Sus scrofa: one gene and its partner. The protein of the gene in region 2 interacts with the protein of the main gene of each other region in a pairwise test. Links are inferred from orthologs where the notes say so. Each region holds a gene or a part of one and is shown on either strand. Other genes may lie near its edges.

Region 1 (3,653 bases), on a different chromosome or scaffold from region 2:
GATCTGAATTAAAAGAGCAAGCCACGCAGCCATAGGATAAGAGTGTTCAGACAGAGGAAATTGTTAATGGATAGGTCTTTAAGATTCAAATGCGCTTTTCATGATAGAGATGCATTTATCAAGTAAAGGATAAAATCAAATAGTTATATGGAGCTCAAACCAACAACGGACTTGTAGGCCATTGTGAGGAATTTGGATTTTGTTCTGAGATGGAAAGTCACTGGAGAGATGAGGGGAAGAGAGATTTAATCTGACTTAAATTTTAACATCACTCTAGCTACTTATTGTGTTGGGAACATTCTACACTGGTGCTGGTGGTGGTGGGGATGGGGGGGTTGGGGGAGTGGAGTAGAGTAGGGGAGACATAGGGGTCAAAAGCAGAAGCAGGGAGACCAGAAGGCTATGGCTATAAGCGCATCCTGGCTTGGACTAGCATAGTAGCAGTAGCAGTGGAAGTGGTGAGATGTGATTGGATTTTGTATATATTTTGAAGGTAGAGCTTCAGAGGAATTTTTTTTTTTTATAGGTTGTGGGATATAAGAGAAAGTGAATTAAAGATTATGCCAAGGTTTTTGGTCTGAACATCTGGTGGAATGGGTTTGTCATTCACTGAGATGGTGAAAATTGGGAGAGAAATAGGTTTGGAGGAGAGAGACAAGAATCCAGAATTAAGCCTTGGATGAGTTAATTTTGAGATTCTCATTAGAATCCAAGTGGAAAATGTGAGCAAGCAACTGGCTATAACAAGTTGGGATGCAATGGGAGGAATCTGTGCTCGAAATATAAAATTGGGGGAGTTCCTGTTGTGGCTCAGCGGGTTAAGAACCTGACTAGTATCCATGAGGTTGCAGGTTCAATCCCTGACCTCGCTCAGTTGGTTAAGGATCTGGCATTGCTGCAAGCTGCAGATGCAGCTCGAATCTGGCACTGCTGTAGTTGTGGTTTTAGGTCAGCAGCTGCACCTCCTATTTAGCCCCTAACCTGGGAATTTCCATATGCTGGAGGTATGCTCCCCCCCCCCAAAAAAAAGAAAGAAAAAAAATAGAAAATTAGAAAAGATATGGATGATATTTAAACCATGAGACAATAGGGGATCATCAAGGGATTAATCAGCAGTGGAAGCTGAGGAGTAGCCAGGGAGATCGGAAGAGAAACGAAAGAATGGGATTCTCAGGAGTTCCCTGGTGGCCCAGCGTTTGGGGGATCAGGTGCTGTCACTCCTGTGGTACGAGTCTAATCCCTGGCCCAGGAGAAAAAACAACGGGGTTCTCAGAGGCAAAAGCATTTGGTTTTGACATGTTGAGTATGTTTGGTTTTAGACCTGTTGAGTGTTGCCAAGCACTCCTTTCCCATGAGGCTTGCTGGGGGCACTAATGGAGCTTACTGCTTGACCTATGCAGCCTAGCTAGGGATCCAGAGATAGAAGACAGTTCACTGGACTGCCTGTTTTTCGTGCCTCCCTAACCCAAATTTGAAGTATCAAAACATCTTTTTCTGTACATTTGAGGATAGTATTCTGCTGCCTTTCGCCTCGTATTTTGAGAGATCACAAAATGAAACTGTCAGGGAAATAGAGCCAGTATGTGGTGATTTCTGAGTTATAAAATTTAGCCATTGAAGGGGATGAGGGAAGTAATTTAAGGGCCTGTCATATGCAAGGCCCTATGGAAAGTGCTTTACATATATGATGTATAATCTCAGAGCAAGTAACTCACCCAAGGTCACCGAGCTACTAAACCAAGAAACAGAGAAAGGAATTAGAGTGATTCCAGAGCCCTGCTTTTTATGACAACTGTGCTGGGGAAACCTACTATTTTTAAAGCCAAGCGAGAATGGGCCCGTGGAAGAATGGAAGCTACAGAATGGCTGAAATTGCTGATTGAAGTAGCAAGGGTCAGAGGGAAGCAGAAAGGGATAGGATTTAAGGCAAAAGTAGAGATGTGAACCTCGAAAAAGAAAACACATCTTTCTCTGAGTTAAAAGGGAGGAAGAGTATGAGAGTGGAGATAAAGTGAATAGGAGATGATTTTTGAGGTGATCATGATTTTGGATAAATAAAAAATAAGATCACCTTCCCAGAAAGGAGTGGAGACCTTAGGAACAGCTTCTGGAGAGAATATGGAAGAGATTTCTCTCCTTTTCCTTTCCTCTTTCTTCTTGCTTCTTCTTCTCTGTTTCCTTCCTCTTTCTCCTTTGTTCCCTTCTGCCTTTCTTCACAGTTTCTCTCCAGTATTTCACTTTTCTTATCCCTTTTCCTTATTTCTCACTTGTTTTATTTCCCACTTTTTCCCCCTCCTGTCTCTTTTTACCTTTTTTCTTTCTCTTCTTTCCTTCTCCAATTCTTTGAGCATAGACAAAGAAATGAAGGTGGCACAGCCGACATATTTTACCTATTTAGAGGAGGAGGGAGCTCCTGATGTGGCTCAGTGGTAATGAACTTGACGAGTATCCATGAGGACACGGGTTCCACTCCTGGCCTTGCTCAGTAGGTTAAGAATCTGGTGGTGCTGTGAGCTGTGGTGTAGGTTGCAGGCGAGGCTCAGATCCTGAGTTGCTGTGGTGTAGGCCTGTGCCCACAGCTCTGATTCTACCCCTGGCCTGGGAATTTCCATATACCACACTGGCCCTTTAAAAAAGAAAAAAAAGAATAGTGGGGAGTTGGTCATTCCTCCACCAGGTGGCACAATGACTTAAGAATCTGACTGCATGCAGAGGTTCTGCTCAGTAAGGCCCAGGTTCCATCCCTAGAACTGGAGCAGTGGGTTAAAGGTTCTGGTGTTGCCACAGCTATGGCTCAGATTCAATACCCTGGCCCGGGAACTTCCATGTGCCCAGGTGTGGCCATAAGCTTTTTTAAAAAAGGACTAGGGGGGAGTTCCCGTCGTAGCGCAGTGGTTAACGAATCCGACTAGGAACCATGAGGTTGTGTGTTTGATCCCTGGCCTTGCTCAGTGGGTTAAGGATCTGGCGTTGCAGTGAGCTGTGGTATAGGTTGCAGAGGTGGCTGGGATCCCAGTGTATGCTGCAGGAGTGGCCCAAGAAATGGCAAAAAGACAAAAAAAAAAAAAAAAAAAAAAGGAGTGGGGGGAATTCCAGCTGGGGAAGGGAAGTTAGCCCAGAGGAGGTGATACTTACATTGGCTGACTGATGTCTGCAAAGAAGTTAATTTCAAGTTTCAGTGAGCTGGGTACTGCTGCCATGAATAGCATACTCTTTCGTTTAATGTTATCAGAGTGAGTCTCTCAGCTGTATCTCATTTACCTCAGGTCTCAGTTCACACTGAGGAACAGGAAATGTTCTTGCAGGAGGTGGCACCTCTAGGATCAGAACAAGAACCCGGTATGTCTCTCCCATCCGTGAAAGTCCAGCTAAAGTGTGAATCTCCGGACCTTGAAGCCCAGCAGGAGCAAGGTAAAGAGGAAAGACCCATCTTGGGAGGAAGGGAAGATGCAGCTAACACAGGACACTGGGGCTTTTTTGTACTTCATGCTGTTTCTGATTATCAAAGTCAAGACAGTCTCCAGGAATCTGACAGCTCATGCGTAGACCTCAGGCAGCCTAGGTTGTCATTCTCCAACTCTGTTTTTCTCTTTATATTAATATTTTCCTAATTTCTGGCTGTAATTTTGAGATCACTTAATTTAGTCCTTCTG
Region 2 (3,653 bases):
AAAATATTTTTAATAGTTTCGCCTCTGTATTTCCTAATTTTCTAAAATGTATTGCATGTTGCTCTGTAATAGCTTTTTTTTTTTTTAATTTTAAAATAACATGAAACATACAAAACCCACAAAGGCACCCAAGGAGATGAGCTAATTTCAATGTCTGAAGAAGACTGAGGAGATGTGATCATGTCTATACAGTAACAGAAGTACCGCCACCACTTTAGAGTATATAAGTTAGCATCACCTGGGGAAAGATAACAAGCATGAGCCCTCGGGCCCAGCCAGATCTCTGAGGCAAAACCTCCAGCTGTATCTTAAATATCTGCATTTCCTACCAGGTCCCCAAATAACCTGATACACAACACCTTGACCTTTGAGAACCCCACTCCAGACTTTGGGTTCCATGACACACACAATCTCCTACGACAAACTACAAGAGATACCTGTCACCACAGTTCTCTGGCTACTTGGGACAGTGAGGGAGAACGCAGAGACTGCATGGACAGAACAGAGGCTAAAAGTCTAATGTTAAGTTCAAGGCTGAGGGCCCACTCCTGGTCACAGTGAGTGAGAGCAACCTTCCTATTCTCTAACCTGGTGACTGTACTTCTAGGAATCTATCATTTTAAAAAGTCTAAAACAGGAGTTCCCATCTTGGCGCAGCAGAAATGAATGTGACTAGGAACTATGAGGTTGCAGGTTCAATCCCTGGCCTCGCTCAATGGGTTAAGGGTCCAGCGTTGCTGTGAGCTGTGGTGTAGGTTGCAGACGCGGCTCGATCTGGTGTTGCTGTGGCTCTGGCGTAGGCCAGCTGTTACAGCTCCAATTAGATCCCTAGCCTGGGAACTTCCGTATGCCGTGGGTGCGGTCCTAAAAAGACAAAAGACCAAAACAAAAAACCCCACAAAGATAAGGCTAACCTGCTCTCAACAAAACCACAAAAGTTAAAGATGAAGCAACAGAATACCACGAACATCACTGAATTCACGGACAGCAAGCTGCAGAGCTGGAGTGCTGGATTTAGCACTGTAGTGTAGTGAAGAGCACCTGGCACAGGGTAGGAACAACAATGAGCCTAAATGGGAGTGCAGGAAATGGGCAGAGGCTACTGCCACGCAAGAAAGCAGGACACACAAGAAAGCCTGCCCAGAAGACCCACAGGAACCTTATGAGCAAGTGTTGGGTGACTGATGCTGCTGTGGTTAACTGTGTGTGTGTCTTGCAAGCCTCCATCCTGGACCAGGTGTCCATGGGCCCCCCATACCTTGACCTGAGAAATCTCTTTCTGGGGAGCAGAGAGCTTCTTGCTAATTCTGCCCTTGGCTTTTAACTCTTCCACTGTCTTGTAAGAGTATTTGGGCTTCTTCTTGCTTCCGCTGGGGTCTTTCCTCCACTGGCTCAGCTCCTTCTGAAATTCCTGAATCAAGAATATAACATAGTCCATCACAACAAGAAAGGGCCACTTTTTCCCGCAAGTGGGGACACTGAGGCTTTCAGAACACCATGCTAAGCACCGTCCCTCCATAACACTAAGACCATCCAAAGACACTGCTTGATGCCCACTCCCTGCCTTACAAATACTGAGGCTCAGACCCCTTCCCCACATAGCCAACCTACTTTCTTCTGAGTACTTCCTGGCACAACTGCTCTTTCTAACCACACCGTGGTTACTTTTTTACTGCTCCCTGTCCACCAGGCTCCACGCCTGGTCACGGCAGGACACCAGCCTTCAGCAGTGTCTGGCACCTGCTGTGCAAGCGACCTCTAAACACTGGCCGAGTGAACAAATGAGCAAACAACAGTCCCAAGAGGCAGAGACAGAATCCAGCCCATCTCCTGACTCACCTCCTCAGCTTCTTCCTCAGAGTCAACCACGGGGAAGTCCTGCAGGGACTGGGTGGTGCGCTCTGAGCCATACGCCCCCACCGCGCCTTTCCCCTTTCTCTGCTTGGCTTCAATTGGGTTAATGATACCTGGCAAGTTGCAGCAAAAGACAGACTTCAGATCACAGCAGTTCTTGTGAGTGAGCCACTCAGGGAGACCACACTCCTGGTCCTCACACACAGTAACATGCTACCCAGGAAGGAAACATGCTTCTGCCCTCACGACACCGTTTGGCTCCTGTGTGGCCAGAAGCTTCTGAGCGTGTGTGCTGCCACAAAACAGTGTGCTGATATTGTTTGTATCCTAAATACAGACTTCCATTTCTACTTGGACTTGTTGGTTTTTTTTTAGTGGACAGGAATATTTTATAACTGGGATCTCAGGCAAATTAGATTCTATACTCTGCTCATTTGGAAGCCCATTAATTCAGATATTATATTGATTCTGACTGAAGTAAGGTGAAGCTGCCATTTAATATGAAACTCCACCTATTTTACTTAGGAGTTCATATCTCCTATGAGCTATAACAAGTTTAAGCCTGGAAAATAAGTATTTTTCTTGTAAAAGTTTACAAACAGGACTGCATTTCAGTGAAGAACTGCCACACCCCAGACTTCCTACCAGGCCCCTTCCAGCTAGTACTGTTGAAATCCCAATTAGCACACTTCCCTCACTCCCATGCCATTGCCACTCAAGTCCATGGATTCTTCATACGGCTGATGTTTTCAACCCACAATCCATATCTAACTTTATAATACCTAGGGGCTGAATCTGAATTACAGAGAATACTACTGATGACATCCCACTGGTGAGTGTTGTAAAACAAAAGGCAACACCTGATGTTTTACTGATATTCCTGAAGGACAGGTAACTGGCTTTTTGCAAAACTAAAAAATAGTTACCTGTCCTGCCCCCGCATGAGCAAGAGTCCAAACTCATATGCCTTTAGGGTCCAGGAACATTAATATGAACAGGGAAAGTGGGCTGGAGTAAAAGGGGAGTGTGGAGGCAGCTTCCAGGAGAAGGCCTTGGGTGCTGACTGGGACAGCAAGGACTCAGCTAAACCAGTCACTGCCAGGCAACTCTAGAATGGAAGTGAAACTGTCTGCTTTTTAAATATTGGCAACCAGTTTGATTTTTTAGAAACACCGGGCAGGCTAGAAAGAAGCCTGTTCTCAGCCTGTCAGCCTGATTTAAACCCTAACCTCTCCCTCCTGCCGAAACAAGTATTTTATGTAACTTGAGTTCTGATAAAGCATGAAGCATAGAGCACAGCATCTGTGCTGGCAGAACAGGCTGCAGGGTCCCAGCCCTCCGAACAGTGAAAAAGCAGAAAAGAGGAGGCCACTGCCCTCCCTGCTCTTCCCACCTCTGCCTGACAGCAAGTGCAAGACTGTGGGGTGGGACTGCCACACCTTGTGCATTCTTCCCAAGGCCCCTTCCAGGGACATAGCCCATCTTCTGAAGCAGCTTCTGTCCAATTCCTTTTGTGTGTCTTTCCCAGCTGCCAAAATCCATGAACGACTTGGTTCCTCCTGCAAAACCTTTCTGACTGGGTTTAAAGTTACCACCCTGAAAAGGAGAAAAATCAAAGTTTAGTTAATAGAAAAAGAAGGAAAACGTAATAAAGCAAGCTTAGCTGATGGGAGCATGACCTGGCAGTCACAGAGCATTATGAAAAATATCTCACCAATCAAACCTACCTCTGATGCATCTTAGGGAATAGAAGAGACTGCACTGCACACATCACCCCTCAGGGAGATGCACTACCACAG

Evidence for each region.
Region 1: the proteins of TFIP11 (region 2) and ZSCAN12 interact in binary tests that used the Homo sapiens proteins (3 or more experiments, as listed by UniProt). The two-hybrid records come from large-scale screens. The link is inferred for Sus scrofa from reciprocal best matches to the Homo sapiens genes TFIP11 and ZSCAN12.

Annotation. Positions count from the first base shown.
Region 1 is NC_010449.5:22,202,486-22,206,138, reverse strand, and holds part of ZSCAN12 (zinc finger and SCAN domain-containing protein 12), read left to right. Parts: intron 1-3,266; coding exon 3,267-3,411; intron 3,412-3,653. UniProt on the Homo sapiens protein: May be involved in transcriptional regulation.
Region 2 is NC_010456.5:44,102,628-44,106,280, forward strand, and holds part of TFIP11 (tuftelin-interacting protein 11), read right to left. Parts: intron 3,451-3,653; coding exon 3,294-3,450; intron 1,968-3,293; coding exon 1,840-1,967; intron 1,412-1,839; coding exon 1,259-1,411; intron 1-1,258. UniProt on the Homo sapiens protein: Involved in pre-mRNA splicing, specifically in spliceosome disassembly during late-stage splicing events. Intron turnover seems to proceed through reactions in two lariat-intron associated complexes termed Intron Large (IL) and Intron Small (IS).